Linked DNA regions of Alligator mississippiensis. Each later gene encodes a partner of the first gene's protein in a complex. Links are inferred from orthologs where the notes say so. Each region holds a gene or a part of one and is shown on either strand. Other genes may lie near its edges. The genes, in order: MED1, PPARA, MED20 and MED25.

The links.
Region 2: the proteins of MED1 (region 1) and PPARA are in contact, whole or in part, in a crystal structure (PDB 9IWM), measured with the Homo sapiens proteins. The link is inferred for Alligator mississippiensis from reciprocal best matches to the Homo sapiens genes MED1 and PPARA. Residues at the interface, in NP_004765.2 of Homo sapiens: Asn638, Thr639, Asn641, His642, Pro643, Met644, Leu645, Met646, Leu648, Leu649, Lys650; in NP_001001928.1 of Homo sapiens: Val284, Thr285, Thr288, Glu289, Lys292, Phe297, Leu302, Asn303, Gln305, Val306, Thr307, Leu309, Lys310, Pro458, Leu459, Glu462, Ile463.
Region 3: MED1 (region 1) and MED20 share a complex: the UniProt entries of both Homo sapiens proteins name them as parts of the mediator complex. The link is inferred for Alligator mississippiensis from reciprocal best matches to the Homo sapiens genes MED1 and MED20.
Region 4: MED1 (region 1) and MED25 share a complex: the UniProt entries of both Homo sapiens proteins name them as parts of the mediator complex. The link is inferred for Alligator mississippiensis from reciprocal best matches to the Homo sapiens genes MED1 and MED25.

The regions. Positions count from the first base shown.
Region 1 is NC_081827.1:165,686,530-165,693,823, forward strand, and holds the start of MED1 (mediator of RNA polymerase II transcription subunit 1), read left to right. Parts: upstream 1-4,292; 5' UTR 4,293-4,461; coding exon 4,462-4,489; intron 4,490-7,131; coding exon 7,132-7,238; intron 7,239-7,294. UniProt on the Homo sapiens protein: Component of the Mediator complex, a coactivator involved in the regulated transcription of nearly all RNA polymerase II-dependent genes.
Region 2 is NC_081827.1:136,205,241-136,212,968, forward strand, and holds the start of PPARA (peroxisome proliferator-activated receptor alpha), read left to right. Parts: upstream 1-4,713; 5' UTR 4,714-4,859; intron 4,860-4,986; exon of another isoform or gene 4,987-5,307; intron 5,308-7,728. UniProt on the Homo sapiens protein: Ligand-activated transcription factor. Key regulator of lipid metabolism. Activated by the endogenous ligand 1-palmitoyl-2-oleoyl-sn-glycerol-3-phosphocholine (16:0/18:1-GPC). Activated by oleylethanolamide, a naturally occurring lipid that regulates satiety.
Region 3 is NC_081837.1:38,996,238-39,004,129, forward strand, and holds the start of MED20 (mediator of RNA polymerase II transcription subunit 20), read right to left. Parts: upstream 3,001-7,892; 5' UTR 2,823-3,000; coding exon 2,809-2,822; intron 1,224-2,808; coding exon 1,069-1,223; intron 1-1,068. Other genes in the region: BYSL (bystin), read left to right, coding at 3,383-3,653, 5,358-5,523, 6,335-6,473, 7,172-7,305, 7,511-7,671. UniProt on the Homo sapiens protein: Component of the Mediator complex, a coactivator involved in the regulated transcription of nearly all RNA polymerase II-dependent genes.
Region 4 is NC_081828.1:39,929,169-39,936,173, reverse strand, and holds the start of MED25 (mediator of RNA polymerase II transcription subunit 25), read left to right. Parts: upstream 1-4,003; 5' UTR 4,004-4,100; coding exon 4,101-4,243; intron 4,244-5,944; coding exon 5,945-5,990; intron 5,991-7,005. Other genes in the region: FUZ (protein fuzzy homolog), read right to left, coding at 753-955, 1,076-1,168, 1,290-1,360, 1,456-1,544, 1,671-1,766, 1,858-2,055, 2,274-2,378, 2,512-2,580 and 3 more. UniProt on the Homo sapiens protein: Component of the Mediator complex, a coactivator involved in the regulated transcription of nearly all RNA polymerase II-dependent genes.

The DNA.
Region 1 (7,294 bases):
TCGCGGGAGGGAAGCCCTTCTCCGCCGGCCAAACCTCGCGAGATTTCCCCGACGCTTCTCCCTCCTCCTTCAGGCCCCGACGGAAACCTCGCGAGAGCACGCCGCGAGGCCCTTCAACAAAACTTTATTGAGCCCCGTCGTAACGCGGCACATGGGGGGGAGGGGGACGAACCAACAGACCAACCCCCGCGCTTGTCAGCGTTGCCTTTCCAACAAAACTTTATTGGGAGGAAAGTGAGCGGACAAAGCACCACAGGTGCCCCCCCCTTCAACAAAACTTTACTGACACGTTCCTGAAGACAAATACCCCCCCTCCCCCCACATGCACAAAGTACATGCTTAGGGAGATGAACATAACACAGGTGGTTGTGTTCATTTATGTTCATGTGTGTACATATATACATATACACATATATGTAGGTACATATATACATGTAGACATGTGTATGCATACACCTATTCACATAACTCCCCAAGAAAGCCAAAGGGCCTTGCAAATAGTAGCCATAAAAGGCTGCATTAAACACACACTAAGTACAAAACCTAGCTGTCTACTTATACAGGGGGATTGGGATCACTGCTCCCTGGTCCCAGCTTAACTTCTTGCCCCTTTCTGGAGTTGGAAATAAAATCCAAGAGTTCTGGCTTCCAGTCCCCACCTTTATACTTTAAATCCTATTCCCTGCTCAGAGCTGGAACCAGAAACCAAGACTCCTGATTTTAATAGCTCTTCCTTGCTGCATCCACTTGTCTCTAAGAACCGAAAAGAGGACACCAGCGCCCTGACCCCCAGAGTTCTATCACCCCTAGCTTTCCTCACAGCTGGAAACAGAATCATATGATCCAGAACCCTCATTCTATAGCCCTAACCCTCCAGAGAAAAATCAAGTATTTATTTTTATTGTTGTTGTTACTACTACTTGGACAATCATGTCCAGCAGTTTTTGGAAACAGGGACTGCAGTTCCTTGGTGCTTTTTGAAAAATGGGTCCTGAGGCTAGCCAAAAAGTGAAGCAGATCACATCAGTGGAGACTTCTGGAAATGTCCCTTAGCCATTCCTCAGGTAAATTATCATTGGCTCCTTGTGACATGTTACCCAACAATAGAACAGAAAGTAAAAGGATCTGGTGTATAGTGGGTGGTATAATATAATGTCATTATATGCCAGCCTTAAACACTCCAAAGCAAATATGAAAAGGAAAAGAGCAACAAAAATTGCTTTTTCCTCCCTCTGAGAATAAATACCCTCCCCCCAAGCTTTTTCTACATGGAAAAACTGTGAATATTCCTATTTTAAAACTTCCATGCTTGTTCCTTGAAGTATTGAGGCTTTCAATATAACAACAGCATGATACAGGAATGACTCAAACAGCATATCCATTTAGGTTTGAAACTGTCACTATAGAATGTAGATTTATTTTTATGAGGGTCACATCACTTGAAGGCAAGTTCCAGAAAGCTCTAAAATTGCAGGTTTTAATTGGTGTCTGTTCTATTTGCATGTGTGTATTTACAGCTTCCATTTTGTCACATCGACATTTTGAGCTCTCTCGCTATAATAATGGTGGGTCTGTGTTCCATTACAAACCCTGTTGTCTATATTCACTAGGCCATACAAATTCTCTTTAGGCTGACACTCAGCATATGAAATCTCATCAGTTTTGTTTTTAAGTTAAAGGGTGACAAAAGTACAACTATTTTGTGGATTTACAGATGCTCCTCCCTTCTCTTCCTGAGGCTGCAGTTAACTCAGTAGCGATGGTCCTTCCACATCTCCACGATTTTTAAGATGAAAGACAGGCCATCAAATTACACTCTCAAATTCCCACATAATTCCCAATATCTTTGGATTTATTTTGCTATTGTAGAAAGACATCCAAGCTTGCTTTCAAGACTTGAAGTTCAGATGAATCCACCACTTTCCTCAGCAAATACTGGATCCTATTATTCTTTGGTCTCCTTGTCTGTCTAATTATCTGGTTAATGGAACACTGTTCTCGACTGGAACTAGAACTGGGCACCAGCCTGCAGATGAATAGCTTGTTTTAGTTAAAGTAACAGACTCTAATAACCTCTGGAAAGGAGGAAGAGGTTAATCTCCAGTTTCTATTAATTTCAAAGTAACTATTGTATAAAGCAGTAGTTATTGTAAATCCTAGGTAGCAATTTCTTTTTAACAAAGTAGCACATGACTACAATTTTATCATATAGTCTCAGTGGAATTTAAAACAATTAATTTGTATTCACTACCTCATAAAGATGTAGATACCTTGTATACTTGGCCACTGAAGGAGATGAAATGTCTTACTCAGGAAACAGGAAGAACTCCTACCCCACTCAAACAGGTCACCTCATCTGGTGGTCAAAGAACAGAACATCTTCAGCTGTGGTGTGTTAAGAGGAAGCCATAAGGTGGGCTGGCCCTTTTCAAAGAAAGGCTGGGTTTGTCTCTGACATTAGTATTTTGTCATTCTACAAAGGTGAACCTGATGGTTTTTTTCAGGTTTTGTGGAAGGGAATTGACAATATCAATTTTTCTGTCCATAGTGATGAGCTAGAAATGTAAATTTGGATCTTGATAGTGGGAAAACTGAAATTACGTGCTAAAAGAAAGCAGAAAGAAGAGCTCTAAGTGGAATGCTGCTAATCTTGGTTCCCCCCCCCCCTTCTCTCTCTCTCTTCCTCCCCTCCTCCCCACCCCCCTTTGCAGTGCTTCTATCTTTGGGTGTTGTGCAATTTACTGTTTGTAAAAAACGTTTTTCTCTGGTGAAAAAGAAATGCAAAGTATGTTAATAGTATTGTACTCTGTACTGAACTTGAATGAATAAAGTGGAGGTATGGGAGAAGGGGAAAAAGTCCTTCTAAAGAGATGGGAGGTAAAAGTATTTAATGCATTTAGAAAGCTGTTATGGTTTGCCCCATTACACTTGATTTTAAGATTAAAGTAATATCTTTAACACTTTGTTTGATAGTACCTAGACCAAGTTAAGGGCTCATTGGATGTATGTTTAGACTTAAAGCACAGTGTTTATGGTACTGTTTTATCAACCGCTGTCAGCTTCCAGTTATGTGCTGGGTATGTTCCTTTTGTATTACATCAGTGGTGTTCAACCTCTGGTCCAAAGGTCACACCTGGCCCACAGCCATGTCACCTGGCCTGTGGGACTCCCCACAGGCACAGAAATTTGGTGATAAGGAAGTGATAGCAAAGCTAAGTGTTCCTAGAGCTGTAGTGTTTAACACTACTGCCAGTGTGGAGCCTCACAGGTCAGATGATGTGGCCCTGTGCAGAAGGAGGCTGGGACCGTAGCAACATTGGCATGTATGCTAAAGCAGCATTTATCTGATCTCAGACTTAAAAGGAGTGCTCAGAAGCAGTACAGGGATGTAGGTTGTAGCCGTGTTGGTCTAAGAACATAGGCAGACAAGGTTCCTTGGGTGAATCTGATATCTTTTATTAGACCAACCCAAATAGTTGGAAAATAATAATTAGGCAAGCTTTCGGGTTCAAAAACCCTTCGTCAGGCTAAGGAAGTTTCAGCAGTTGCTGTGTGCTCTTCCTGGATGGAATGAAAAGTAAAAAAGCCAGGGGCTGGGCTGGTATGCATACAAGACAGGTAGTCAGTGAAAATATAGATTGAGGAGTCAATGAGTGAGAAGAAGCAGTACAGTAAGTCTACTGCCTGCCATCTCAGCACAGTGAGATAAGTGAAAAGTCTGCTAGCCACCTTCCTGGAACAGCTGAGATTTACAAATAGTCCAAAAAAAAAAAAAAGTAACACAGTGGGAACATTGCTGTACAAAGCAAGGATTTCTTATGGAGATACCTTTTATTGGACCAGCTGTACAGGCGGAGTGGAGTTAGATGCACTCTCTGAAGAAGAAAGTATTGCCTAACTCCATCCTATCCACCCAACTGGTCCAATTAAAGGTATCGCCCTAAGAAATCTGTGCCTCTAGCCTGGCTTCTGGCCCATCGCGGCTCCACCATCGCTCCTGCCCGACTCGGTATTTGAAATATTTAGTTCTCCTCCCCGTGTAATTACTGTTACATCTCCGTAGCTCTTTCGAACTGCAAAGAAGTCTCAGGGGCAGCTACTATCAAGTAGAGGCTTCGGCCCCGCAGCCGAGCGCAAAAGCCCAAATGCCTAGAGTGGGGAAGGGAAGTTGTACAGAAGCCGAGCTGGTGCTCCAGATCCCGCGAGATGTCGGCGCAAGCATGCTCCGCTCGCTGCTCTCTTGCGAGATTTCCAGGCTCTCGCGAGAATGCGGAAGTGTCGCGCAGTTTGGAGATTAGCTATGGCCGTTGGGATGGCGGCAGCGGCCGCGGACTGAGGCTTCTCCCGTGCGGGGGGGGGGCCTGGCCGCGGGGAGCCGCTCGACGCGAGTAGGCACCTGCGGCCTGCCCCGGGGCCCGCCCCTCCTCCCTTCCCCATCGCCGTCCTGCGCCCGCCTGCAGGATGAAGGCGGCTCAGGGGGGCGCTGAGGGTGAGTGCCTGGGGCCAGAGCGAGGCTGCGCCCCCAGCCCCTCGCTCAGAACGAGGCTGCCCGCGGGGGCGGGGGAGGGGGCGCTGCCGGGGCGGGGACAGGGAGATGCTCATCTCCAGGGCAGGCGGCAGCCCACACATCCTTTTCCCTGGAAAGCCAGCAGTCCCTACCCTCAAGTCCCCAGGGGGATGAAGGACCATTTCCCCCCTCCCAGTAGGTTTCAGGGCAGCATCCATCTGTCCTCAGGAGCATGTCAGGGACCCGTAGCGCACGGGTTGGTGCCCTGTATGAAGCCACGGCTGAGCTGCCCAGGAGGCGACCGGAAGACAGGGTTGTGCTCTTTTACCTGCAGCCAGAATCGGGCACTGCTGCCCGTGCTAGTCCAAACCCCTTGGTAGGGAGCGCTTGCTGGTAGCTAAGGGGCTTCTGGCATGTGCTGCTGCACCCGGATGGGAGAGGAGTGTATGTGCCAAGGACGGGATGTTTCACCTGGAGCTGAGCAGCCTCGTGGTTTACAGAATATGAAGGTGCCCAAAACTGTGTTGGTGCAGGTGACCGTGTGGTGTGTAAGCCAGAACAGCTGCCTTGGGTTGAGATGGACCTTCATGTTGTGTGACTTGCAGCCTTATTGGCTGCACCTCTGTGAAAGGTGATGACAGCTGCCATTTGCCCCAACTTAGGCAAGTTGAGCAGATCCATTTAGTTGCTATCATGATGTCAGCACAGCTTTTAGTAGGGCAGAGTTTGGGAACCTGTTCTGTGCAGTAAGGGAAATGGTTTCTAGAGCTTAGAGTTCTTCCCTATATATAATTTGCCCCTGTATACATCAAATGGGCATGGATTCATTCTGAGGGTTTCAGTTCTGCTGTGTTAATTGGTTCAAAAAAAATTTTTTTAATGTGTATCAGAAACAATCCACGAACATATTAAACACACAAATATAAGGCATGTCTAAATCCACCTCTTCTGCAAAACTAATAATCATCATGCTTTCAATGTAAATTAAAAAGAAGAACTAAAATTAATAGCTAGTCTGACAGACAGGTTACTTTTCTTTTTTTTGGTGACATCTGGTGCCAGCTGCTAAGCAGGGATAGTTGACTTCCTCAGTTTCTGAAGGAAATAAAAGACTATACTCTGGCTGAAATTCTGCTTCTGTTGATGTCAAATGCAGAACTTCTACTGCATCCCAGTGGACCCAGGATGTCATCCATTATCTGGAAATTTGTACCAGCCATTTTAAAGAACTGTTTTCTGCATGTGGACCTGCAGATGCATTCAATATTAAGTTTATGGCATAATACAATTCCCAAACTGAGTTTTGAAATGCCCCTAACATATTTACACAAATAGGAACTTGTGCCATTAAAGTTTTAATCCTAGGTTTACCTTGAACTGGACACCTCAGTTGAAGTTGCCAAAACAAACGGGGATGACTTTGCTTAAACTCCAGGGTCTAGCTTTAGAGAAGCCTGCTCCATATCTAGTGAAAGGGACACCACTTAAAACTATTTTTAGACAAGTGTTATCCCCAATTTTTACAAATATCACAGAAGATACTCATAACTAGAGAGTAAGGAAAACTATTTTCTCTGTTGTTTCAGCTTGTTTACTTCATGCATTTGATAATACCCTTTGTATAGTCAATGACAGTGTTTCCACTGCATCATCAGTTTCTCTGTAGTTTATAAGCTTCTTTTCCATTGCAGTACTGAAGACCAAAGCACTTTTAACACACAGTAAAAAAGCGCTGTAACCCCCCACCAAATAACAGAGAAATTGAGATGCATAAAACTTGTTTCTTAAGTTTTAAAGTTGATGGAATACCATGAAACCCTGTTTGCTGGGAAGTGAAACTGAAGTTGCTAGTTGTTTCATTGTGTTGCAGTATGCAGATTGCTATCCAGATTCAAGGACACCTCTGTATCCTGCAGGCACCCACCCACAGAAGATGCCAACCCATGGGTCTCTAGTATGAGTAAGATCAGAACTCCTTTAAGTCATAGAAGTCCCAGCTCTCTGCAGCATTGGTAGTTGTTGGCCTGTGTTGCATTCCAGCTGTCACTGCCTCAGTCAGGTCCTTCATTTTAAGTGGGTTCCAGCTGGAGTCTTTATAGGCTGGTGATTCACCCTTCACTGCGTGTTACGAAGGTATTCTTAAAAACAATTTAGAGCAAAAATGTGAGTATAATGGCTCTCAGATTTGGGTCCACAGCTTCTTTTCAGGTGGTCAGTCCACAAATGAAAAAGTTCGAAACATAGAGTGTGATTAGGGTTTTGGGAGTAAGGAGGAGTCTGTGGAAGTATTTTTGCCTTATAAAGTTCTCAGCAGAACTCAGAGTTGAAAAACAAACTGCATATGCATGTTCAGTGCTATGAAAACCAGGAGATTTAACCACTCCTCTTCAAAGATCTGTTGCTACTTCAGGTCTTTCCCATGAGCCTTCAGCAGGTCTTAAAAGTGTGTGTGTATAATCAGTAAAAAGATTTTTCAAAGTTGTGGTTTACCCTAACATTGAGATGGAATGGCGGATCTTTTAGATGAAGGGGGGGTTTGTGTCTGTAAAAGTTTTGTGTTGTTTGAATTAACATTAAATTGCAGCAGGTCCTGAATGAGATGTCTTCTGTAATTTGTCCCATAGAAGCAGAGAAGCTGAACAAGATGAGTTCTCTCTTGGAAAGACTTCATGCAAAGTTTAACCAGAACAGACCTTGGACTGAAACTGTGAAGCTTGTCCGTCAAGTCATGGTGAGAGTTTTCGAGAGATTGGTGATATTACATAGTCTTTTTATGATTCATACTTT
Region 2 (7,728 bases), about 29 Mb from region 1:
CTAGGAGGGTAGTAAAGCACAGGAACAGGCTACCAAGAGAGATTATGGAATCTCCATCTTCAGAAGTTTTTAGGACCCAGCCTAGACAAAGCCCTGGCTGGGATAACCTAGTTGGGGATGGTCCTGCTCTGAGCAGGGGATTAGACTAGATGACCTCCTGAGGTCCCTTCCAGCCCTAATTTTCTCTGATTCTATCATATGCTCCTTGAACTCTGTGGTTCCTGCCAAAATGTAATGGTGTGTGTGAAATAAACTATTATGAAAGTCTTTGTTCAAGTTTAAATAAAAGGTGAGAAGAGTCTTCTAGTCTAGACAACAAAAATGAGGTATACTACATATTAAAAATTGTATGATAAGATCTCTAACACATTTGCCAAAAGTAACCATAGCACCCAGTATACCTTTTGTGCATCTACAAGCCCAAATCCTGCATTATTTTAAGACTGAAGGAGGCACTCATTCACATTGTAAATTTGGACCAGGAAGCTTGCATTTTCCCTAGTTATGAACTTATGCAGAGCAAGGGCGACATGTAGGGGGTGCATGTGGGTGCACGTGCACCTCCTGTGCATGGTGGTGCAGCCCCTGCAAAAAGGTACTGCTGACACTGTCGGCGGTGCCTATGGGCGGTTGCTGCTTGCCACCCCACTGCTGGCACTGCCAGCAGCGTCTGTGGGAGGTCTATGATCACATTTGGTCACTGCCAACACTGCCAGCGCTCACCACCCCGCATCACCTACAGTGCCGTCAGTGTCTGCGGGAGCTCCCCGCTCACCACTGCTGCTCTCCTGGCACCACCAGGGGGTATGTGCTATTCATGATGCAGAGTTCAGTATTGAGCCCTTATTCTGCATATTTCCATAATGCTATTAAAAAAGTTAGTATCTGCTATGCTGCTGATTTTAAGATTGCAACCAGAAATATTGTATTACAGAGCTGCTCTTTGTGATCCTGTGGTTAAGGCTGTGTCAAGATCAGCTGGGTTATTAATACTAGAAACCTGGTTACTGCACAAGTGTAATTACGTTTCATAATTAATTTCAGTATGCCAATTTGCATTAATACTGAGTTACTCTGTATTAATAGAATGCAATATTAAATGCAGATTAGCTCAATTAAAGTTTCTTTTAAATCATTAAATATTTGAAGAATTCATTACATCTGATGTGCTCAGACTTCTTATAACTCTGAGCAATATTTAGCTGGTAGATGTCAAGGCATCAAATATAGACTATGCAAGCAAATCAATAATGTGCACTTCAAAATCTCTGTAAATACATAAAGAGATAATCTGGTCTTGTGTAAATAAATATTTTAAATAAAGTTTCTCTTTATATTCATGTTCTGGGGTACTCATCATAATAGTTTACAGGCATCATATGAGTAATTTACTTAAAAGAAGGAAACACTTCCCAAAGTAGGGCCCAGAGATCTCTTTTTCCATACCTTGATAACACAGCTTTCCAAAGGAAACTGCATCTATAGAATGGTCAGCTACCTTAGAAACTAATTGTCACTGAGAAAAAGCCTAAACAATGTTATGGATTTTTCTAAGAAACTTACACAGCCAGTAGCCTAAGAAATGGTGTTCAACCTCTGGCCTGCGGGATGCCCCATCTGGAAATGTTGGGGTGGAGGAACTGCAAGTGTATTAACTGCCATGGCTTCCAGACCTGCAAAATGTAGCACTGCCACCACTCCCTTGCCATCAAATTCCCACTCTGGCCTTTGGGGCCAGGAGGTTGAGCACCACTGCCCTATAAGATACAATTTCCACTGATTTTTTTTCTAATAATCTCACTGCAGCACTACTGAAATTCTATTGAGGGGAGAGTCGAATGGTGAGAGTATTCATGCAGACTAGGCATATAACCCTTTTCAGAGAATGACATACAATTTTCCCCTAGAAGTTTAGCCTGGGAATGCCAAACTAGAGCATCTGCATTCAGCATAACAGACTTGGGAGGTCAAAAGAGGAGAAACAGTCTCTTCCTACTTATTTCAGATATATAACTACTGGTAATTCCCGAAACAAAGTATATTGCAATGTTTCATCTATGAAGAGGTTTAATCAGTTTGGGTTGAATAAACTATCTTGTGGGAACATCTTCAGAAGTAAACAGGAGTGAATAAAAAGCACATCTGCCTCCTGTTCAGCTGAGCTGTGCTCCACACAGGACCTGAGGGGATATCAGATGGATAGTTCTCTTGTAGACTTTCTGATGCTACTGGCAACTGCGTACTGGCTTTTCCTTTGATGTTATATAACTTTGACACTGCCCTAATGCTGCTCTAAGTTTATACTGGAGGCCAGAATGTGGCCCAAAATCTGTCAAATGTTTTGGGATAGAAGAGTATGATTTAGGATAGAAGAGTACCAGCATTACTGTAAATGCTAGTGTTTTTCCCCAGTAGCTACATTTTACTGTCAGTACTGTACTATTGAATTGTTAATACAAACAAGCACTTTCTTCCATTATTTTAATTGTTGTTTGTACTTTTTATCCATTCACAGCCCTATGTATTTTTTGCTGATTTTCTTCATCTCTCAGTATTGTTGTTTATTTAGCTGTTGAATGTGAAGCCTCAAAACCTGCCACCATTATCCCATCAAATACTACTTACAGTGGTAATATTAAGCTAACATATATATAGGCAAAATGGGGTCAAGTATTCAAGTATTCTACATACATGGAATATTTTAAACAGCAGGCCATTTTTTCTCTTTGCCACCCCTGTAAGTCCGCTGAAGTCAGCAAACAAAAGCAATAGTCAATAAAGTGCAATATTTTTGCATAGGAGAAAAAAAGGAAAAATGTGATAATCTGAATAAAAGCATTTTAAAATATGATTTTGATGCTCTTTGTGCATCATTGTAAACTGTAATTATGAGCATGGTCATGAAATTTAATCATGCATATGATGCAATTTATCAGCCTAAAGTTCCTTTGGAATATACTTTCCTGTTCTGTTTCTTTCTCTCTTTTTGCTATTTTAATTATTTCTCTAATTGTCCCATATAAATAAATAAAATCTCTAATATTTCCATAAGCTTTTTAGAACAGACAGTATGTGCATTAACTTCCTAGAGTGAAATACTTTCTACCAGTTTAGAGACTCCTCCTCATCTCCGTGACTGGTGATGTGGCCTGGTTAGAAACATCTTTTTCGCTTTGTGCGATGCAGCTGGCACAAAGCCAGCCTACTTTAGGAAACTCCAACTAGCACAGGACATTGCAACACATTGCCACAGTGGCACAGGCTGTCATAACCACATCAGCCACCCAACTCCACTTTCTAAGCTGGCTTCTGATTAGAACAGGGATGATCAACCTCTGGCCTGTGGGCCAAATGTGGCCCGTAGGACCATGGTGGCATCTGGCCCATAGGGTTCCCCACAGGTTAGAAAATTTGGCAGCAGGGGACTGGTGGCCCTTAATACAACCACCCTCCCATGCTGCCAAATTCCCACACCTCTTACCCCCTCAGCCAGATGGGGCCAGGCCAGACTCCTTTTTCCTGTGATCAGGTTGGGGTGGGCTATGTCTCTTTCCCTCCAGGAGGCTGGATCAGGGCCAGGCTGCTTCAGGGCCCCTCCACATGACCACTGCAGCTGCTCTGATGGAGCCTTGTGGAGGGAAGGGGCCAAGCTGTTCCAAGCCCCCTTCACATGGCCACTGCACCTGCCCTGGGCAACAGATCAGGACCACAGGCTGGATCTGATCTGCAGAGGAACTTAGGCGTTGCCCATCTGGCCCGCCAGGGAGAAAAACTGAGCACCACTGAATTACAACTTTTGGGACCAATGGACCACAACCAAACCTCAGTATTTCTAACGGGTTACTTTTAATTGAAAACACAGGCAAGGAGATCAGGGCCCAGCGCACTCGAGAGACCATCTACAGACCATTCACCCTGGCCTGATGGAATCGCTGTTACAGAAGACTGAAGGCTGGCAAGATCGCCTGGAGGCCATCTGTGATCACCAGGGATCCTGGTTTTCCGTTTCCCACGGAAAAAAAAGAGAAAACCATGGATTTCCCATTTTTATCAGAGAAAACACAGATTTCCCCTTTTTGCAAGGAGCTCATCAGACTGAGTTCCAGCCTGCGTGCGCGCGCGCGTCTGTGTGTGGGGGGGGGGCGTGTCTGTGTGGGCGGGGGCGCGCGCGCGCGTCTGTGTGTGTGTGTGTGGGGGGGGCGTATGTGCGGGTGTTTCTGTGTGTACGTCTGCGTGCGTGTGTCCCTGTGCGTCTTTTTTTCTCCTGAGGGGGCCGGGGGCACGTGCGTGTGTGTCGGTAAGCGCCCGTCTGTGCGTGTCTGTGAATGCGTGACTGTCCGGGCGTCTCTGCGTGCGCATGTGTCTGACGGCGCGTGTGTGTGTATGTCTGTGCGTGTGTGTGCGTGCATGTCTGCGTGCGCCTGTCTGCTCCCGTGTCCGTGTTTCCCCTCACACGCCCGGCTCAAGGGGCTGTCTGTGTGCGTGGCCATGTGACGCGGGGATGCGTGGGTGGGGCCCCGCGCGAGGCGAAGGCGCGCGTATGCGCGGGGCTGGGCGCTGAGGAAACCCCAGCCGCGCAGCGAGCCTCCCCCCTTGGGCTGACCCGCCCCCAGCCGCGGGCCTCTCCCCCCTCCCATCCCTCCGCCGCGCAGCCAATAGGAGGCGGCGGCGGCGGGAGGTGTGTGCCGTGACCTCACTTCCTGGACCTGTCACCCGGCCGCCAGCCAGACGCGTGTTGGCTCTGCTGACTGGCTCGCTAGGGCCGGACCCAGCCCCCCCGCTCCTCCTCCCCCGCCGCCGCCGCTCTCCGCCCCTCGCGGGGGTCGCGGTCCCGGGCTTCGCCGCCTCTCGGGACACAGGTGCGTGGCGGGGCGGGGGTGATCCGTCGTGGGCGCAAAGGGGTTAATCCGTGTGGGGGCGGAGGTGTGGATGCCTTGTCACCCCTTGTCCTTGTCACTCTGTGTGTGTGTGAGTGTGTGTGTGCGCATCAGTGTCCCAGAGCCTGCAACGGTGGCTGCCTTGCGACTTAGCTGACCCAGCAGTGGCAGGGAAGTGGCGTCCTGCCCCACACGAGATGCACCCGAGGCTGCCGGGGGAGCCCCAGGTTCCCCACAGGGCTGGCGGCTGGTGGCCAGACAAGAAGAACGAGTTGGCGGCTGCCCCCGCAGGGCAGGCCATATAAGCCTAAGGTGGTAAGCATCAACCAGGGAGAAAGCCCTGGCACCCTTGGGGCGCCTTGAGAGCTGTTCAAGTGGGTGCTACGACAGGCTCACGCTACTGCTGAGGTCGGCCACTGTGGTCCACAAGGTAAACCCTGAGGTTTCTAATGGAAATTCATGTCTGCGGTCTTTCTGGGCTCTTGTCAGCAGGAAAAGCACTCTGAAGTTTTTCTCTTGTCAAAAAAAGAGTGAGCACTAAGAGCTGGCATGTTCACGGGCACCGCGAGCCTGTCCAGGGTTGCCTGGAGCCTTTAAAGTTGGAGTCACTTTGGTGTAGAGGGTGTTGGTTGTAGCTGGGTTGGTCTAAGGACATGGGCAGACAAGGTGCTTTGGGGAAATGTGAAGTCTTTTTATGAAACCAGCTAAATAGTTGGAAAAATAGTTGGTTTGTACCTGAAAGCTTGCAAAGAACAATTTTTCCAACTAGTCAAGTCTAATAAAAGATGCCACATCTACCCAAAGCAACTTGTTTGGTGCAAGGGAACATTCAGGCCTCTGAGATAAAACAACTCCAAAGTGACTATCTGCTCACCCCAATTGGTCCAGTTACCCAAGCATGAGGTGCTTGCTGGAAAGCTCTTAGTTGGAAGGACGTAAAGACGGGATTTGTTAGATTTAACCCGGAGTAGGGATGGCGGCATTCCCAAGACACCCCATGTTCTCGAAGCCCTGTCTATGTGAAAGTGTGTAAAGTTGTCTGTTCTAGGTGTCATCTTATAGAACGTGTGTCTGTACTGACTTTTTATCATTCTTGTTAGTAACAAAATCTTGTCCCTCTAGGCTAGGTACAGACATTCAAAATGCCTGAGGCAGAATCAATCTAAGCTGCATGGTTTTCTGTAAGTGGCCTAGTTTAGATTGGTAGCAAACAGAACACACATTTGCCTTTTGGCGGTCGCTGACTGGTGTACCAGAGGCACCAGACACCCATTATGAAACAGCCAACAACAGTGTCAATCGTGGCTTCTGTGATACGATCACTGCCCACTAGGAACTGTACAGCAAGTTCATCAGTTGCTTATTTTGTATGATCTACCAAATAGTCATTAGCTGATAGTGACTTTTACAGCTATATAGTTACTTTGTACACCTTAAGTAGCACTCACAGTACACTGTTTTTATGAGGATGAGAGTCTGAAGCTGACCTTGCTCTCTTGTTAGCAGAGTTTGAGAGCACTGCATAGGCAGCATGCTTGCTCTCTCTCTCCCCATGTAGGGCAGGGAACATTTGACATCCAAAAAAAAAAAAAAAGTCCTCTTCTTCTCTACTCACCACTCAGAAAGATACAGTGCCCTTCAAACGATTATGTGTGGGGCATGGAGTAGTTGTGATTCACTTCTGTTTTCATAGTCTATGTTTTTTTAATATTTTTCTGGGTGAGTTGAGCAGTGCCAAGAATCATAGAGCAGATAGGTGTCATAAATGCAAAATGTTACTTTCCAGTGGAGTAGTAGGCAGCCTAGGAGGAAACCATATTAACCCTCCAGAAAAAGCTGGGTTACAGACACTCAATGTTGCTGTGAGGTGCCAGGCAATCCTACAAGAAACCAATGTCTTCGAAGTAGCAGATACACTTTTCAGTTGGTTTCTCTCTTTTCCTTACATGCTGAGACTTGAGTTCAAGGGTCTGTTTTCTTTGAAAAAGAAATATCTGTTGCAAGGGGAAATGGAGAATCCTGCTGTGTAAGAAGAATTGGGTTTCAAATATTTTGTATTAAAAATGTAGCTTACGTGCAGAATATTTCCAGAAGCTTTCTATGGAGCTTGGGAGCTTGAACATGTTAAAGTTTCATCTTAAAACAGTTTTGTAAGTCACCTCTAAAGGCTGAATTTTCCCCTTTAGGTTGGGTGTATAAAAGAGTAGATTTAATTAAACCATTATTTACTCTTTTGTGAAGGTATGTTTTAAAAAAAATCCTGGCATTATAAGGTGCATGTAACATAAAATCCCTACCTTTTGAGGTGTCACTAGTAGTCCATAGTCATATTACATTGGTGTCTTCACATGGGTTGGGTTTGTGTGTGCATTTATACTATCAAAAATGTAGACAAGCTCCTAGAATGATTTACATGCGACCGTCAGTGTTGAAGGAAATTGTTTTGTGCTACTAAAAGCATTTTGGTTTATAATACCTGACTAATAGAATATCCTGGCTTTCACCAAGGAGGTTTTTATTGCTTTACAATACAAGAGGACAGCCAGGATGATACTGAGACTTGACAGTGACAGGTGTCAAAATATTGCATGCCTGAATAGTCCCTTGTAAAGATAAGCACAGGTATATGCTATATGTTGACCCCAAGTATCCAAAAATAAGTTTGGCCCAATATATGAGGTTTGCCAAAGAAAAACAGAAAAGGGGGTGGAGAGTCTCTTTATTTTTTACTTTGAGTGCTTATGGTCTGCCCCGCCGTGCTGAACCTGTGGCGCGCCGTTTCCACAATACCGACTGCTCGGAGAGCTGGTCGTAAGTCCGAGCGGTCGTTAAACAGGTAGGTCGTTAAGTG
Region 3 (7,892 bases), on another chromosome or scaffold:
AGGAGTCAACAGCCACAAGAGTGAAAGCAGAGCTCCATGCCATCAGCCCTATCAGAATGGCCCACATTGTGGGGACATAGCTGCTAAAGCTGGGGCAGGCAAAGTCTGGTGGATCAAGCCTGCGGCAGACTTCATTTCCCAGCAGCCCCTGCCTGCATCACTGCAGCCAGTTTCCATGGAGACCCCGGCAGGGCAGGACTGTGACAGCATGGGGCCAGGGTTTCCACGGAAACTGGCCCCAGCAGCGCTGGCAGAGAGCGGGGCTGGGTAGGGAGCTGCTCCGGGGCCAGGATCTTGAGCCAGCGACAGCGTGGTCCAGGGCTGGGACAAAACTATGACCTGCTGCCCTTATGCCCTGGGCAGGGGCGTGCAGGCAGCAGATCGCGGCTCTGCCCTGGCTCTGGACCACGCTGTCACTGCTGAAAGATCCCAGCCCCGGAATAGCTCCCTGCCCAGCCATGTGCTCTGCCAGCGCTGCTGGGGCCAGTCTCCATGGAAACCCTGGCCCCGCGCTGTCAGGATGCCACTGCTGCTGGGTAATGGAGTCCAGCCACCAGCTGGATCCACAATTTTGCTCAGCCCTATGCTAATGGGACCACAGCAGCCAGAAGGTGGTACAGACCTGTCCATATAAGCCTTTGTTAGCTGTTAAATAGCAGCCTTCTGTCTGCCCAAGAGATGAATTCACTCTGCCGGCAAAAGAAAAAGATTTTGATTCCACATAGCAGCTTTGAGTGGGGGCATGCTTACAGGAGGTAGAACTGAATCCCGCTAGCAAGATTATACAGCATAGACCGGGCTTGTCTGACCAGCTCTTCCTTCCTACCGCTAGTTCAATCCAGTTCAGTAGCACCATGCTGGGGAGACGACTGGAGAGAAGAAAGGTATAAACAGGAGAAAGAAGAGGCCTCAGAGCTGGCTTTAGCACTCCCAGCTAGAACAATAAGAGGACAATAATTTAACTCATTACGAGAGCAGAGTTCAACCCAACCAGAGCTACCAGCTACTGCAGCCAATATAAGGTTCTCTGCAAAGCATTTCACTCAGATAGCGAAACGACAGGCTGACCTTGGTTGCCCATGGTGGAGGCAGCTGTGTGGTAGGTCTCACAGTCGACACAAAACGTTCCTTGTTTCTCTGCTCCGAGCAGCTCCAGTTTCCTTGTCAGGATTTCAACCGTCTGTTGGACACTCTTCCCCTCTGCCACTGGCATCTGAGATACACTATCGAAGAGGAGTTACAGAAAAGAGTCAATAACCATAGATACCGAGACACCTTAACCAAGGCAGAATGCAATACAGCCAGACAACAGCGTTTTGCATCTAGAACAGAGATTAAAAGCCGACACGTGATGACCATTTGCTTTGTAAAGCATTTGGACGGTACTGTCAGCATTACTTTCATCTATCTTATCCGCTCACACTAGTGATTCTCAACCAGGGTGCCAGGGTACCCTGGGGTACCCTGAGATCCTTCCACATAATGTTAGCACAGTTGGTTATACAAACCCAAAGATTTCAAACAGACTTCCATGGCTGAGGGCTTTCTGAGTGCTTTACATTGGAAAAACTGCTCTATTATTTTCCCATGTTCAAGAAATGAAAACTAAGAGGCGGCACTTTCTAACGGGCACCTCTAATTTATCCAGGGATGCCTTGAGTCTAAAAAGAATGAGAACTGCTGCTCTCGGCTTCTCAGGGCAAGGACGATGCTACTCAGTGCCTTGTTCATGTTTGTGCCTGAAGCATTACAGTACTAAACACGACTAGCAAATGTAACAAACACCTCTAAAGGCTGTAAAAGGACCGCTGTGATCATGTAATCTGGCTTTTTATGCAACACAGGTCACAGAACCTTACCCGGTAACTTCTACCTTGCTGAACGACAGCAGCAGTTCCCAAACTAGGGGCTGTGAGGCCTTGGCATGGGGTCTGCCGGTGGGCCACACACACTGCTAGGTCCCACATACTTTTCTCATGCTTCCAGTGAAACGTTTGATGATAAACCTGCACTGCTAGCTTGCGAGAGAAATGGAGGATGGACTGCTCCGTGAGTACAAAGCCCTGAGCTAGATAGCGGGTCTTTTACAAAGACGTCCTGTCTCAGGTTAGAGACAGGTCCACAGAAGAAACCCTCGCTTCCAAGAGCAGGCAGGCACACCCAAAAGCCCCACGTCTGGCATTTTCAGTCCACTCCATGTCAACCCTGCTGTTCTCCACAACCCAGAAAGCCCTACAGACAATGGTTATTTGCCCTGCACAAAGTGCCACAGCGACAGCCCGATGCCATTCCTGCCGCCCCTATAAACATAGGACGAGCATCGCAAGGAAGAAGCCTCGGCCAGGCAGGACTGCTTCGCACCCGGCGTCTGCCCTGTTCCGGTGACAACAGCAGACACCCAGAGCACGACTTTGTCCCCAAGGCCATTTTGCCTTTTTGCCAAGGGGACCCTGCGTCTCTGTTCTGATACAGCGGCACCTCCGTGCCCCTGACGCCTGGTGCCATCACAGCCCTGTATTTGCAGCTGCGACGCTGACCTGGCTTGATCCAGCCTGATCTCTTGTCAGTTCCTCTCAACCCTGTCTACCTCCCAGCCCCTTGCTCACCAGGGGCCTCATCCCACTCCTCACCGCCTGCTCCCGGTGGTGGTACCGCAGGCGGGTGCTGAGTGGGGCCTGGATCTTCAGACCCCTGTGCATTGAGGGGCAGCTCAGCCTGCACCCCTCCCCCCATGGGGGGATCTCACCTGCCCTCGCCCCTTTGCTCCCTGCAAGCCTCCCCCCAGCCCGCACACATCCGGGGCCCTACCAGGTGACCCCCATGCTGGGCCCAGCGCTCCCGGCCAGCCCCTGCCTACTCGGGATCCTCTTTGCAGGCGCGGGGACCGCCTCTCCCGAGCAGGAAGCGGAGTTTCTAGCCCAGCCCCGTCCTCTCCCGCTGGAAGGGGTGGGAAGCCGAGTAGGAAATGATGTCAGGCGGCCAGAAGTGGGTGGGGAGGCCGAGCTACGACGCTGGGAGGGGATGGAGGGGGGGCAGGAGACAGGGGCAACCCGCTGCTGATGCGGGCAAGCGCGGGTTCCTCCGCCGCTGATCCGGGGGCACGTGGGCAGCGGACAGACGAGCAGCTGCCCTTCACACGCGGTTCAGTAGCTCACACCCGTCCCAGCTCTGGCCTACACACATCAGCCCCGTCTGCCCCTTGTAAAAAAAAAAAAAAAAAAAGAATGAAAAAAGAAAAGAAAGTAAAAATTGGGCGGCGGCGCCTTTAAGAGCGAACGTTCGGACACGCCTGTCGCAATGGTCGGAACGTTGAGAGTCGCAACGTTCCATCCGCGCCTGCGCGCCGCGTTGCTCCCCTCCGCCCACGTGTGCGCGGATCGCCATGCCGAAGGCCAAGCGGGCCAAGGGGAGCGCGGGGCCGGGGGAGGCGGTGCGGAGCCTGCCTCTGGCCGAGCAGATCCTGCAGGGCCAGGCGGTGCGGCCCAGCCGGAGGACGAAGAAGCGCGGCGCGGCCGCGGAGGCGGAGGACGAGTATGTGGATGAGAAGCTGTCGCGAAAGATCCTGGAGCAGGCGCGGATCCAGCAGGAGGAGCTGGAGGCCGAGCACTGCCCGGGCCGGGGAGCCGAGCCGCCGAGGAAGACCACGGTGTTGGGTGAGCGGGGCGGGGGAGTAGCTGAGAAGAGATGTCAACCCGATCCCCTTCGATCCCCCCCACCCTGAGCCCCGAGGGCAGGTCGTGGCGCTGGCAGGGGCACGGTTCTGCCTTCCAGGGGAGAGGAGGGCAAACCCTACACCACCCCGCGCTGTCCCACACCTGCCTTCTCATCCCTTTTGATCCATGCTCTCTCCCTATAGTGTCTGATCACCTTCCAGAGACGTTTAGGGCTGGAAGGGACCTCGTGGGATCATCGGGTCCAGCCCGCTCTGCTCTGGCAGGAAAGACATTTTAGTCTTCCCACAAACGCAGGTCTCAGCCCCCTGTGGGTCTTGTCTTCCGAGCAGCACACTGCAGAAGTAGAGAAGTCCTGCAAGAAAGTCAGGACTGAATCCCTGCTTCTTGATGTCCAGTCCCTGGCTTTATTCCCTGGGTCCTTGAACGTGAAATTCTCCCTGCCCTAAATCACCGTAGGTTGTTCCTGTCTATTGATAAACAGCAGCTGACCTAGGGCAGGGATGGGATGAATTCCCACTGGGATTGATTGATCAAGTATGCTCCTTAAAGACAAAAGGGGTGAGCTGTGGTTTTATGTTCCATTTTAATAACATAAACAGGGAGTAGGGAAGGTCAGACATGGACCGGACACCCCTCAGTACTCCTGCTACAATAGAGATCGTTCCCTACGTCAGACTCCCTTCTAGCCAAGCTCTGTAGCAGCCTGCATACATGCTACTGCTTAGCTAGCACGTCAGCCTGTTTTTGTCACTGTAGATGGTATTGCTGTGCGGTCAAACCTAGCAGATTGAGCTGAATGGATGTCTTTCTGTCATACTAGTGATGTTTTGGACTAGGGCCGTTGCTAGGCCAGGATGCTGTAGCTGTGGGACAAACCACGTTCACTGCAAATACTGACAAAGAGCACTGGAAAGAAATTATTTAGATTCTACCTTGGGAACTTGCTTCATGTATATGTGGCCATTAAAAAGTATAGAATCATAGAACATTAAAGTTGAAAGGGACCTCAGGAGGTCATCTAATCCAGGCCCCTGCTCAGAGCAGCACCTGTCAACCTAAAGTAATCCTCGGACATGGGAAATCTGAAAACCTTTTATTTGCTGTTACCTGGAACATCTAAGCTAACTGAAAGACCAAAGAGAAATATTATATCTTGTATATTAAAGTTGATGGGACTGCTCTCATGTGTGATGTCAAAGGTGTGTGTGAATGCATGGACCTGTAAGCTCAGCCCCTGAGGCAGCTTTCCCTGTGTCTGTGGGCATCCATCCTCAAACAAGGTTTGGGGGGTAAAAAAAGTGTTTAAAAATAGGGCAGTGCTATTGCAAAGCTACAAGAAAAGCAGGGGGAACGCGGGTGCAGAGGTAGGACTGGGAGCTGCTTATAACTCAAATCATTAGAACTTCAGATTGGCAGGGTCTCTCTCAATAATGATGTTGCGGTTCAGATGTGCTCTGTTTAATCAAATGTGGGTGGCAGTCCTCACTGTGTCTTCAGCCAAGGCCTGGCAGTCTCTGGTGCCCATCCGCTTGGGCTATTGGACTTCTTCACATTGACCTCTCAAACTACTCATCACTATAGAAGAGGTGATGAGAGACTATGGTATGGAGAGCTAACTGGTACAGCACAGAGGTGCTTAGTTTTCCAATTTGTCCAAGCCTAACCGTGCCTTGTTTGGTTTAGGATCTGCATCTCGCGATGGGGATTCCGATGCAGAGGACGATGACGAGTGGCCCACACTGGAGAAAGCCACATCCATGGAGAAGGAGGAGTATTGTGAAGAGGTGACAGTGAACCCTGAGGATGAGAGAGCCATCGAGATGTTCATGAACACGAATCCACCGCTAAGGTAGAAGATGAGCCTCTGAGCTGCAGTGTGGCACTTCTGAGCAGCGGGCAGTATCTTCTGCCACCATGCGGCACTGGAATAGGGTTAACATTTCATGGAAGCGCATGGATGGGGGTGGCTGCCTAAAGTGCTGTTCCCCACCTGTCGTTGGGGAAACTGAGGCATGGAGAATTGTCTTGTTCAAGCTCATAAAGGAAGTCTGAGGGAGGGCTAGGAACAGAGCCCAGGAGTCCTGATGGCCCCTTTCTGGGTGCCAAGCAGCAGATAGTACTCCATTTTCGAGAACTGATGCATGTGTGGCACAAACTCCCTGTTCCTAAATACTGTGTGCAGTACCTGAGATCAGGGCCCAGTTGTTATTGGGCAGTAGGCAGTCCCAGCCCCAAGATCTGGCAGTCTGAAAAGTTAAGACATGTAAAGCATAGAGGGGGAAACAAGTACAGATTCAGGAACTGACTTGTCCATGGTCCACAGTAGCCCTGTGGCAGATCTTAGACTAGAACTGGCGTCTCCTGAAACCTAGTCTGGGGCTCAGTGCACTAGAGCAGGGGTGGTCAGCTTGTTGTGAGATGTGTAGCCTCTGTTTGTGGCAGGCAGCAGATTGGGGAGGGAGCAGAAAGCAGAGCAGCGGGTTGGACAGGAGAGGAGAATTGAAGTGGCACCTGGAATGGTGCAGGGTTTAAGCTGTGCGATGCATGCCAAAATGGTTGTCCCCCACTGCACTAGCCTAATCTGCCTTGACAAAGAGCTGGCTTCTTGCATCCATTTCCAGAGCTAATTCCAACTTGTTTTCTTTCTCTGTGTTTGCCAGGAGAACCCTAGCTGATATCATCATGGAGAAGATCACAGAGAAGCAGACAGAGGTGGAGACGGTTATGTCAGAAATATCAGGCCTCCCCATGCCCCAGCTTGACCCCCGGGTGCTGGAGGTTTACAAGGGTGTCAGAGAAGTAAGAGTTGTTATATAGCATAGACCAGTATAACTAATATAAACCAGACCCAACGGCTGTTGTGGCTGATATTCTCTGTTGTGGTGGCTTGTGATGAAAAAGTCTCTTTACTTGCTACAGACATGGCTGTTTACTTGCTACAGCCCCTTCTGGGACGGCTGTTACAGTGCTGTGTAGCACTTCAGAGTAATTCAGAAGACCGTGAATTCTGCAGATGCTCCCCTTCCATCATAACTGCTCTAGACAAATATGTTGATTTAGGGCTTTGTGTTGAGAGGCTTTTTACTGCTGAGCTGGCGGTAAGTTAGCAGATTCTGGAGCTAATGCTAAAATTCTTTCATGACGAGGAGCCTGGAAAAGTTTGTAAGTGGAGGAGAGTTTCGGTACAATTAGTGTAGACCAGCATTGATGCCATGTCTTCAGGCTTTTCTGAGTGTTCTCTCATGCTCTTTCTTCCCAAATAGAACCACAGCTGTTCACCTAGCACCTCTCACTGAAGGAGTGGGAAGTACTTTTCAAATATTACATCCTCCAGACTACTGTGTCTGGAGTTGGCAAGGTGCCCTAGCCCTTTAACAACCATTCACTCTTAGTTGTTCGGTCTTTCTCAGGGTGACACATGCAATTAGTAACAGACTGTGGAAAGCGTGTGTAGCAGTTCCTTATCCTAACCGCTAGTATTCACTCGCTTTTTTAAGGTGCTGTCCAAGTACAGGAGCGGCAAACTCCCCAAGGCATTTAAGATTATCCCTGCTCTGTCTAACTGGGAGCAGATCCTGTACATTACAGAGCCAGAAACGTGGACAGCAGCTGCCATGTATCAGGCAACCAGGTAAGATGCAATCACTTTGCCTTTGAAAAGCTGGCTGATTTGGTGCATTTACAGCAGAAGCTTCCATCAATGGATAATAACTGGTGACAAACCATTATACATGTCATGGGAGATGGGTGAAGCTCAGATGATTGCTTGGGTGCACTGAAGTGTCTGGAATGGAGAGTGAGCATTCAGTTATTTCCCACACCCTTGTTCCTGCCAGGATTTTCTCATCTAACTTGAAGGAGAGGATGGCCCAGCGGTTCTATAACCTGGTGCTGCTCCCTCGCGTGAGGGATGACATTGCTGAATACAAACGCCTCAACTTCCACCTTTACATGGCTTTGAAGAAGGCCTTGTTCAAGCCAGGTGCCTGGTTCAAAGGTAAAAGGAAACTGAGGTGCAGGAGGGGCTGGGCTGACTTTCAACACAGCTACCTCATGCAGAAAGGCAGGGCTGGGCTCTCTGTGTGTTCCTTGTTCCCCGGTGTCATTAGAAATGGTGTGGGAGAGACCTGGGTGGAGGACTTAGTATTTTCCTGCTGTCTTTGGCCTCGTGGAAACAACATTTCTTATCCATGGCACAGCTAAGTTCTGCACATGGTG
Region 4 (7,005 bases), on another chromosome or scaffold:
TCCTAGCAGCTGGGAGAGCTGCTGCTGCCCCAGGGAGGGGGAGGAAGCGGGGGTCCCCACAGGTGCTGGCCAGGCTCCATGGTATTTGCCGTTCTAGGTGTTTTAGCGTCACGTAGTTCCTGCGGATCAGAGCGTGTGTATCTATCTCCATGTGACTAATAAATGGGGCACCTGCCAGGGCCCCTAATACCACCTGCCCCCCTCCCCTGAGCTTCATTCTGTGCTGTGGGACCCGGCAAGGGAGGGCTAGGGGCATCAGGTCACAGGTACAGTCGCCACCATGGCACTGGGATACACCTGCTTCTGGGGTGGAGCATGTCACAGCAGGGTGTGGAGCAAACTCTGGATCCTGCAGGGTGGGGAGCACTATGCCCCTCTCTCTGCTGCACGGGTGGTCAGGTGGAAATGACACAGGAAACACAGATCGGGGTATTCCCTGAGGTTTAATTACAGGCAGGTGTGTCTCAGCCCTGGTCCAGGGCCCTGAAAAACCCAGGTGTCTAAGCTGCCAGCCTCAATCCCCTCTCTTGCCAGGCTGTGGGGATTGAGGCAACTAAGCAGCCAGTGTTCATTCCCCCTGCCTTAGAGGAGACTCAGGACCCCAGTAGTCAGCATCAGTGCTCTCTTGACATGTAGGGATCTGGTCACGTGGAGTCTGTCTCTTATTGCCAAGCTGTAGGACCTAGGCATTTGGGCGGGTGGCATCAGTCCCTTGGCCAAGCCATGGGACCCAGGTGTCCAGGCAGGTGGTATCAAAAGGCAGCATCCCCCACCAGGTACTGCAGAATATGGGTAGCCAGCGGGCGCAGGGCAAAGGTGGGAACCTCGGGCGCCAGTAGCAGGAAAAGCTGATGCGGGGGCGCCTGGGCAGCGTAGGCCTTGTACCCAGCACTGACCACATAGCAGTGCTGGGCACTATGTGAACCCCCACCTAGGGGCAGCTCCAGTGGGGGCACTGCAGGAACAGAGGGAAGGGGGGTGCTTAGGAGGTACCTGCCCAGTAGTGCCCAGCAGAACTAGAATCGGTGCTAGGGTCCCTGGTTGGAGAGGCTTGGGGGCCAGCTCCTGCACTCACCTGGGCTCCCCTCACAGGGAAAGTAATGTGAGACTACCAGGGCATAGAAGGCCCTCAAGACAGAAGCACAACTCCCCAGGGGCAGTGCAGGGCCTGTGAGGAAAAGGCAGGGAGGAGGAGGTGGGTGAGGGCAGAGTGGTAGGCACTGCCCTGGCACTGCTGCAGCACATTTTGGGGGCATCAGGAAGTCAGGGTTTGTGGGGGCAGGACCTACCCTCTGCCTGAACCCCTCTGGGCAGCACTGCACTCAGACTCCGCTTCTGCTCGCGGTTGATCAGCAGGAAACTGAGGGAGGAGATGTAGTGAGATGGGGTGGGGGGCAGCTAGCCAGGGGTGCTGATGCCCCTGCCCAATGTCCCATTCGCCCTCCCCTGACTTACGCCAGGACTCCAGGGTGCAGTGGGACACTGGGGGGACATGCACATGCCCGCAGAGGCTCCAGCAGGGGCTTCCAGAACCGTGGCACTAGCTGAAACGCAGAGATAGGCAGGCTAATGGTGCCAGTGTTCTTTCTCCCCCCCCCCCTCAGCGCCTTAGCTGGGGCTTCTGTGCAGGCTTTGTGGGGGGGTACCATGCTGTCCCCCCTGGCACCCACCTCAGTCTTCACAGCCTCCAGCGAGGGGCTGGGCCCACACAGGAGGCAGATGTCCAAGCCGGGCAGCAGCTGGAAGGTAAGGAGACGGTGGGGGACCTAGGGGGGGAGGGGGAGGCATAGGCATGGTTATGTCTACTCCCTACTTTCCACCCCTTGCAGCCTTGAGCCCCTCCCCATGGGCTCTCACCATGGGGCTGCCCTGGGGCAGGTAGACAGGGTAGTCCCGGGTAGTGCTGGGAAGTAGTGAGCCCACGAGCCAGGCCAGCAGATTCACCTCCTGGGGGGCCAGCTGCCACCAGGGTTCAGTGGCCACTGCCACACGGCCGCCCACCAGCAGGCAGCCAAAGCGGCTCTCTGCTGCCCGTGTGAAAGCAGTCAGGCATTCCTGGAAGAGGGGGGTTAGGAGGAGGAGGGGTCAAGGCAGGGCAGCTCCTTCCTTGTCCTGGTCCCAGTAGTAGTTGCCCCTCCCCTGGATCCTCACTTGCTCCAGCATCCCAGCCTTCTGCTCATTCCTGTTTGTCCCTACTCCCGTGCCTGTGGGCCAGGGCACCAAGGTCCCTCCAGGGGATAAAAGTAGGGCGTGGGCCACCGTGGAGCTCTCACCTGCAGGATGGTGCTACAGGGCACAAGCACACACTCCACACAGTGCGTCAGGTCCCCAATGCGCTCCCCAGGCATCAGGAAGCTGTCAATGAGCTTGTAGCAGGCCTGGTTGTAGGTGGGGGGAAGGGTGGAGTAGGGCTCAGCCCCACACCAGCTCAGGGCAGGGGCATATGGCCCTGTTGCCCCACCCCACGTCCAGGGCAGTTGGGGCATCCTGCTCTGCCCTTCCATCACTTACCCTCAGGTCCTTTTTAAGGCGCTCCACATTGCGGATATTCGCCAACTCCTCCAGGCCCAGCACCAGCACCTGGAACCAGGCCCCAAGCCCATCAGCCTGACACACTGAGGGGCTGGGGCGCAGGGCTGAACCAGGGCAGCTGTGTGAGGATACAGCTCTGCGTGTGTACATATACATATGCGCACACATGCCTAGGGTCCTCTAAGGGAAGATGGGGAATGTGGGTACACTTCCTGGCCCCCCCCCCTCCCCCTCAGCCCTCTAGGGACCCTTTGTGTAGAGGGGTCATATGACAGCACCCCCCTCTGGAAGGATAGGGATGGGGGCTGGATGTTAGAGCAGGAAGGTGGGGTATGGGGGAAGGAGGGTTGCTCCATGGACTTTGCTGGGGGAAGGAAAGGGATAGGGGCATAGAATGGGGGCGGGGAGGCTTACCATGGCACTGAACACATTGTCCAGGAGTCGGCTGAGGGTGAAGTCACTAGCACCTTCCTCTGATGACATCACAATGAGGGTGATGCTGGAAAAGCCAAGGGGGGGGGTAATGGCCCTGTCCAGCACCATAGCCCTTCAGGGCCAGCCCCAAATGGACCCCCTGCCCTACCTGGAGCCCTGCTCCCCTCCCTCAGGCTAAACACCTGCCCCCTTCCTGCCAGACTCGCTCCCCCCTCCAGCTCGACCTGTGGTCCCCTCCCTCTCCCCCAGGCCAGGCCCCACCTGTTATGAAAGGCCCTCCACAGCACGCGGGTGCCCTCCGTGCGGGCGGCTGTCAGCGCCACGTCCAGGTTAGAGCCAAACATGTGGACGCCGTTCAGGGAGCCGATCACGGAGAAGGGGAGCTGGGGGCGGGGGCGGGAAGTCAGTGGGGTCCCGGGGGTGGTGGTGGTGAAGGGATCCAGGACTAAGCTCTCTGCCCAGAGCCAAGGGGGAACCCAGGCGTCCGCCCCCCTCAGCTGTGGAGGGGGGGGGGTGGCCGGATGGGACTAGGGCACCTGGGTTCTCTCCCAGCCCTGGGAGGGGAGTGGGGGCTGGGAGCCGGGTCACCTGGGTTCTCTCCAGGAGGGGCGGGGCGCGCTGAAGCCAGGGCGCCTGGCTTCTGCCCAAGCCGCGGACGGGGCTGGGGCCAGGACTCGCGGGTCCCAGCCGAGGGGGGGGGAGGGAGTGCTGAACCGCGCGGGACCCGATGCAGCCCGAGGCAGGCATGACTGATCGGGGGGTGGACGCCTGCGTTCTCTCGGGGCCGGCCCGACCTGGTGCCGTGTGGGGGCGCCGCGGTAGAAGAGCGGGACGCCGCTGGTGGCTGCCAGGCAGAGCAGAGAGACGGGGCTGCCGCCAGGCTCCGCCATCACCACCCTTTCAGCCTTCTGCAGCCATTTTGCCCGCGCGGGGCACACTGGGGAAGCCGCGCAATTACTATGGAGACCGGGGGCGGGGCCTAGACCCCCTACACCCGCACGCGGAAGCGAAGAGGAGTACTTCCGGTGGGCGCCGGAAGCGGGTCTCTACGGGGGTAGGCGGGGCCTGCGTGTCCATGGTAAGTCCGCGGGACAGGGGTGCGCCGTAGTGACCCACCGCCCGCCCGCGGGGCGATGGTGGTGCCGGGCCCGGAGGCGGCGGCCTTGGGCGGGCCTGGCGGGATGGTGGCCGACGTGGTATTCGTCATCGAAGGCACGGCCAACCTGGGGCCCTACTTCGAGTCGCTGCGCAAGCACTACCTGCTGCCCGCCATCGAGTGAGTGTCGTGTGTCCGTCTCCCTCCCCCCCCGCCTTGAACTCCGGCTCCGGGCTCTAATGCCAAGCTGGCACTTGTCCTGATGCCCCCCCGCCCTGAACCTAGGCATCCAGGCTCCAGCCCTGCAGTGTCTGGCTCTGTCTGCTCCTCCACCACCCAGCTGGGAGGCCCTAGCCTGCCCTAATTCCCACCCCCCCAGTGAACCAAGGCGTCTAGGCTTTAATGCCAGTCTGTGACTCCTGCAGCCTGCCCCGTGCCTCCCGTAGTGACCCTGGGCATTTGGGCTTTAATCCTTTAACACCTGGCTATGGACCCCCAGCTGCCCCAGTGTCCACCCCCACCAGCTGTGGGACTTCCAGGGGTGCCCCCCCCCCAGTCTACACTGGCAGGGTGAGCCCAAGGATCCAGGCTTTACCCCTTTAATGCTTGGCTGTGCCCACCCAGCCTGCCAGAATGACCATGCCCCTGCCCCCCCAGTGCTCAGACTCACCATTGCTCCCAATTGGGTAAACAGTATCCCATCTTAACCCTTCAATGCCTGGTTATGCCCCCCATCCCTGACACCCATCTATGGGCACCACCCCAAAAACTCCCAGCTGTAAGACCTCCCCCCTCTTTGCCCCATAGCTTGCCCAGATGCCCGGATACCATGCCTGTCCTGCCTTATTTAATGCCCAGTGATGTGTCGGCCCCCGCCCCCCCACCTGGCTCCAGCCCCAATCGGATTAACACATCTAACAACTTCTCTATGCCCCTTCATCTCTGTCCTGGCATGTGGCTACTTCTCCCCGCCAGTCTTCCATCTCTGCTCCCCCACCCTGATGCCTACTTATGGATCCCCCCAGCCTTCACTTGATATCCAGGTCTCACCTCCCTGACCCTGATGCCTAGATATGTACCCCTGGTCCCCAGCACCTGGCTACAGCCTCCTCTCTCTCCTCTTAGTGCCTAGCTGTGTCCCCTCATCACTTTCCCAGCTCCAGTCGTTCCCCCCCCCCCCGATGCCAAGGTATGGGACCCCCTAGCCTACTCCCAGTGCCCAGGCCTTCACCTCCCTGTCACCTGGATGTGTTATCCCCAATGGTTCCCAACACTCAGCTACAGCCCCCTGCCCCCTCCAGTGCTTAGGTGTGACCCCTCTTCTCTACTACAGCTCCCAGCTACAGTTCCTCCCCTCCACGATGCCCAGCTATGGGACCCTCCCTCCAATTTATCCTTGATACCCAGCACGCCCCCCTAAATGTCTGGCCCCAAGTGCCCCACCCTGCTGTCCCTGTTCTCATCCATGACAGCCAGGCACTGTTGATACCAGCTGGGCACCTCCATCAGTGGAAGCAGCTGGTCTGTCTCCCCAGCACAGCTCCATCCAAGCAGAATGAGGCCTGCTCGCTACTTGAATGGGAAGCCTCCAGATACGGTGGGAGGGGGAGAGAGCAGCTCTGTCCCCTTCACTGTTCCACCTGTTCTGTGTCTGTCAATTGGATCATAGCTGCCTTTTCTTACCTCTCCTGAGCCACCCCAGCCCCCAGCAGTCCCACCCCCTTCCTGGCACCCTCCCACCTGTGCCCTAACAACCCCCCTCCCCCCACAGGAACAGCCCGGTTCAGTTGCCCCACATATTCCTGCCCTGCTCCATCTCTCCTCCAGCCCCGCTGCCCCCTTCCCTATTTCAGCTCTGATAGCTTTTTCCTCTTGTCACAGGTATTTTAATGGTGGTCCACCAGCTGAGACAGACTTTGGGGGAGATGTGAGTAGGCAGCACAACATTGCCTGGAGAAGGGGGAATTTTATGGCCCAACAGTGTCATTCTGGGGGCAACTGTCGGGCAATCCCATGCGTGTGTCCTGCCCCACCTCCCGGCCCGCCTCTGGCAAACTGTCATGAAGGGTGGGATGAGCACCCTGGATCCCTCCATGTCCTGGGTGTGTGCATGGTATCACTTGTGGGTGCAGGAGTGGCCCTCCTGGTGTCCCAGCACCCCCTGCCAAGGGAGGGCATTTGGGGGGTACCTGGCATCTCCAGGCAGTGGGGTTGGAAAGCTGGTCAGGGATGTACCACAAGCTGGTCTTTCACAAGGGAGGTCAGGGTAGGATGTTCAATTTGCTGGTCATGCCTTAGGCAGGGACGTACCACTTATGGGCAGTTCCCAGGGGGATGGGGTGGAGTGTACCACTAGGGGGGCAGGGGTGGTTCATACCACATGTGTGTCATTCCTGGTGCAGGTGCCCTTTGAAATCTTCATGTTCTCCTGTTCACAGCAGGTTGTGAGCATGCAGGGTGCCCCTACTCACTTTGGGGGTTCCTTGGATAGTACTGTGGGGGGCACGTTATACCCTGCTCCCCTGAGGGTAAGGATACGGGTGGGACAGGATGAACTGTGGGGTGCTCCTCAAACTCTACCCCACCCCCATCTTTCCATAGAGGTGGAAGGGGCTTGAGGGGCCATGGAGATGCCCCTTCGTGGGACACTGGTCTCCAGTGGGTTGGTGGGCCAGGATGTGGTGCAGTAGCCCAGTCATACCTCACATGCTGGCAACTGATTCCTCTTGTCCCTGAATGCCTGGGTCCTCTACAGAGCCTGAGGTGTAGTTGGAACCTTGGGCTAATGTGGGACAACCAGGGTGGGGCCCAAGCAGGGAGGAGGTGAGGAAGGCGGGGCCCATCTCCTGTTACTGGTGTCCCTGGCTGTCTAGGGGCAGGGCAAGCCCCAGGCCCTCTCCTACCCCAAGAGCACCTGTGCAGAGGGCCAGGCTTGGCAGCAG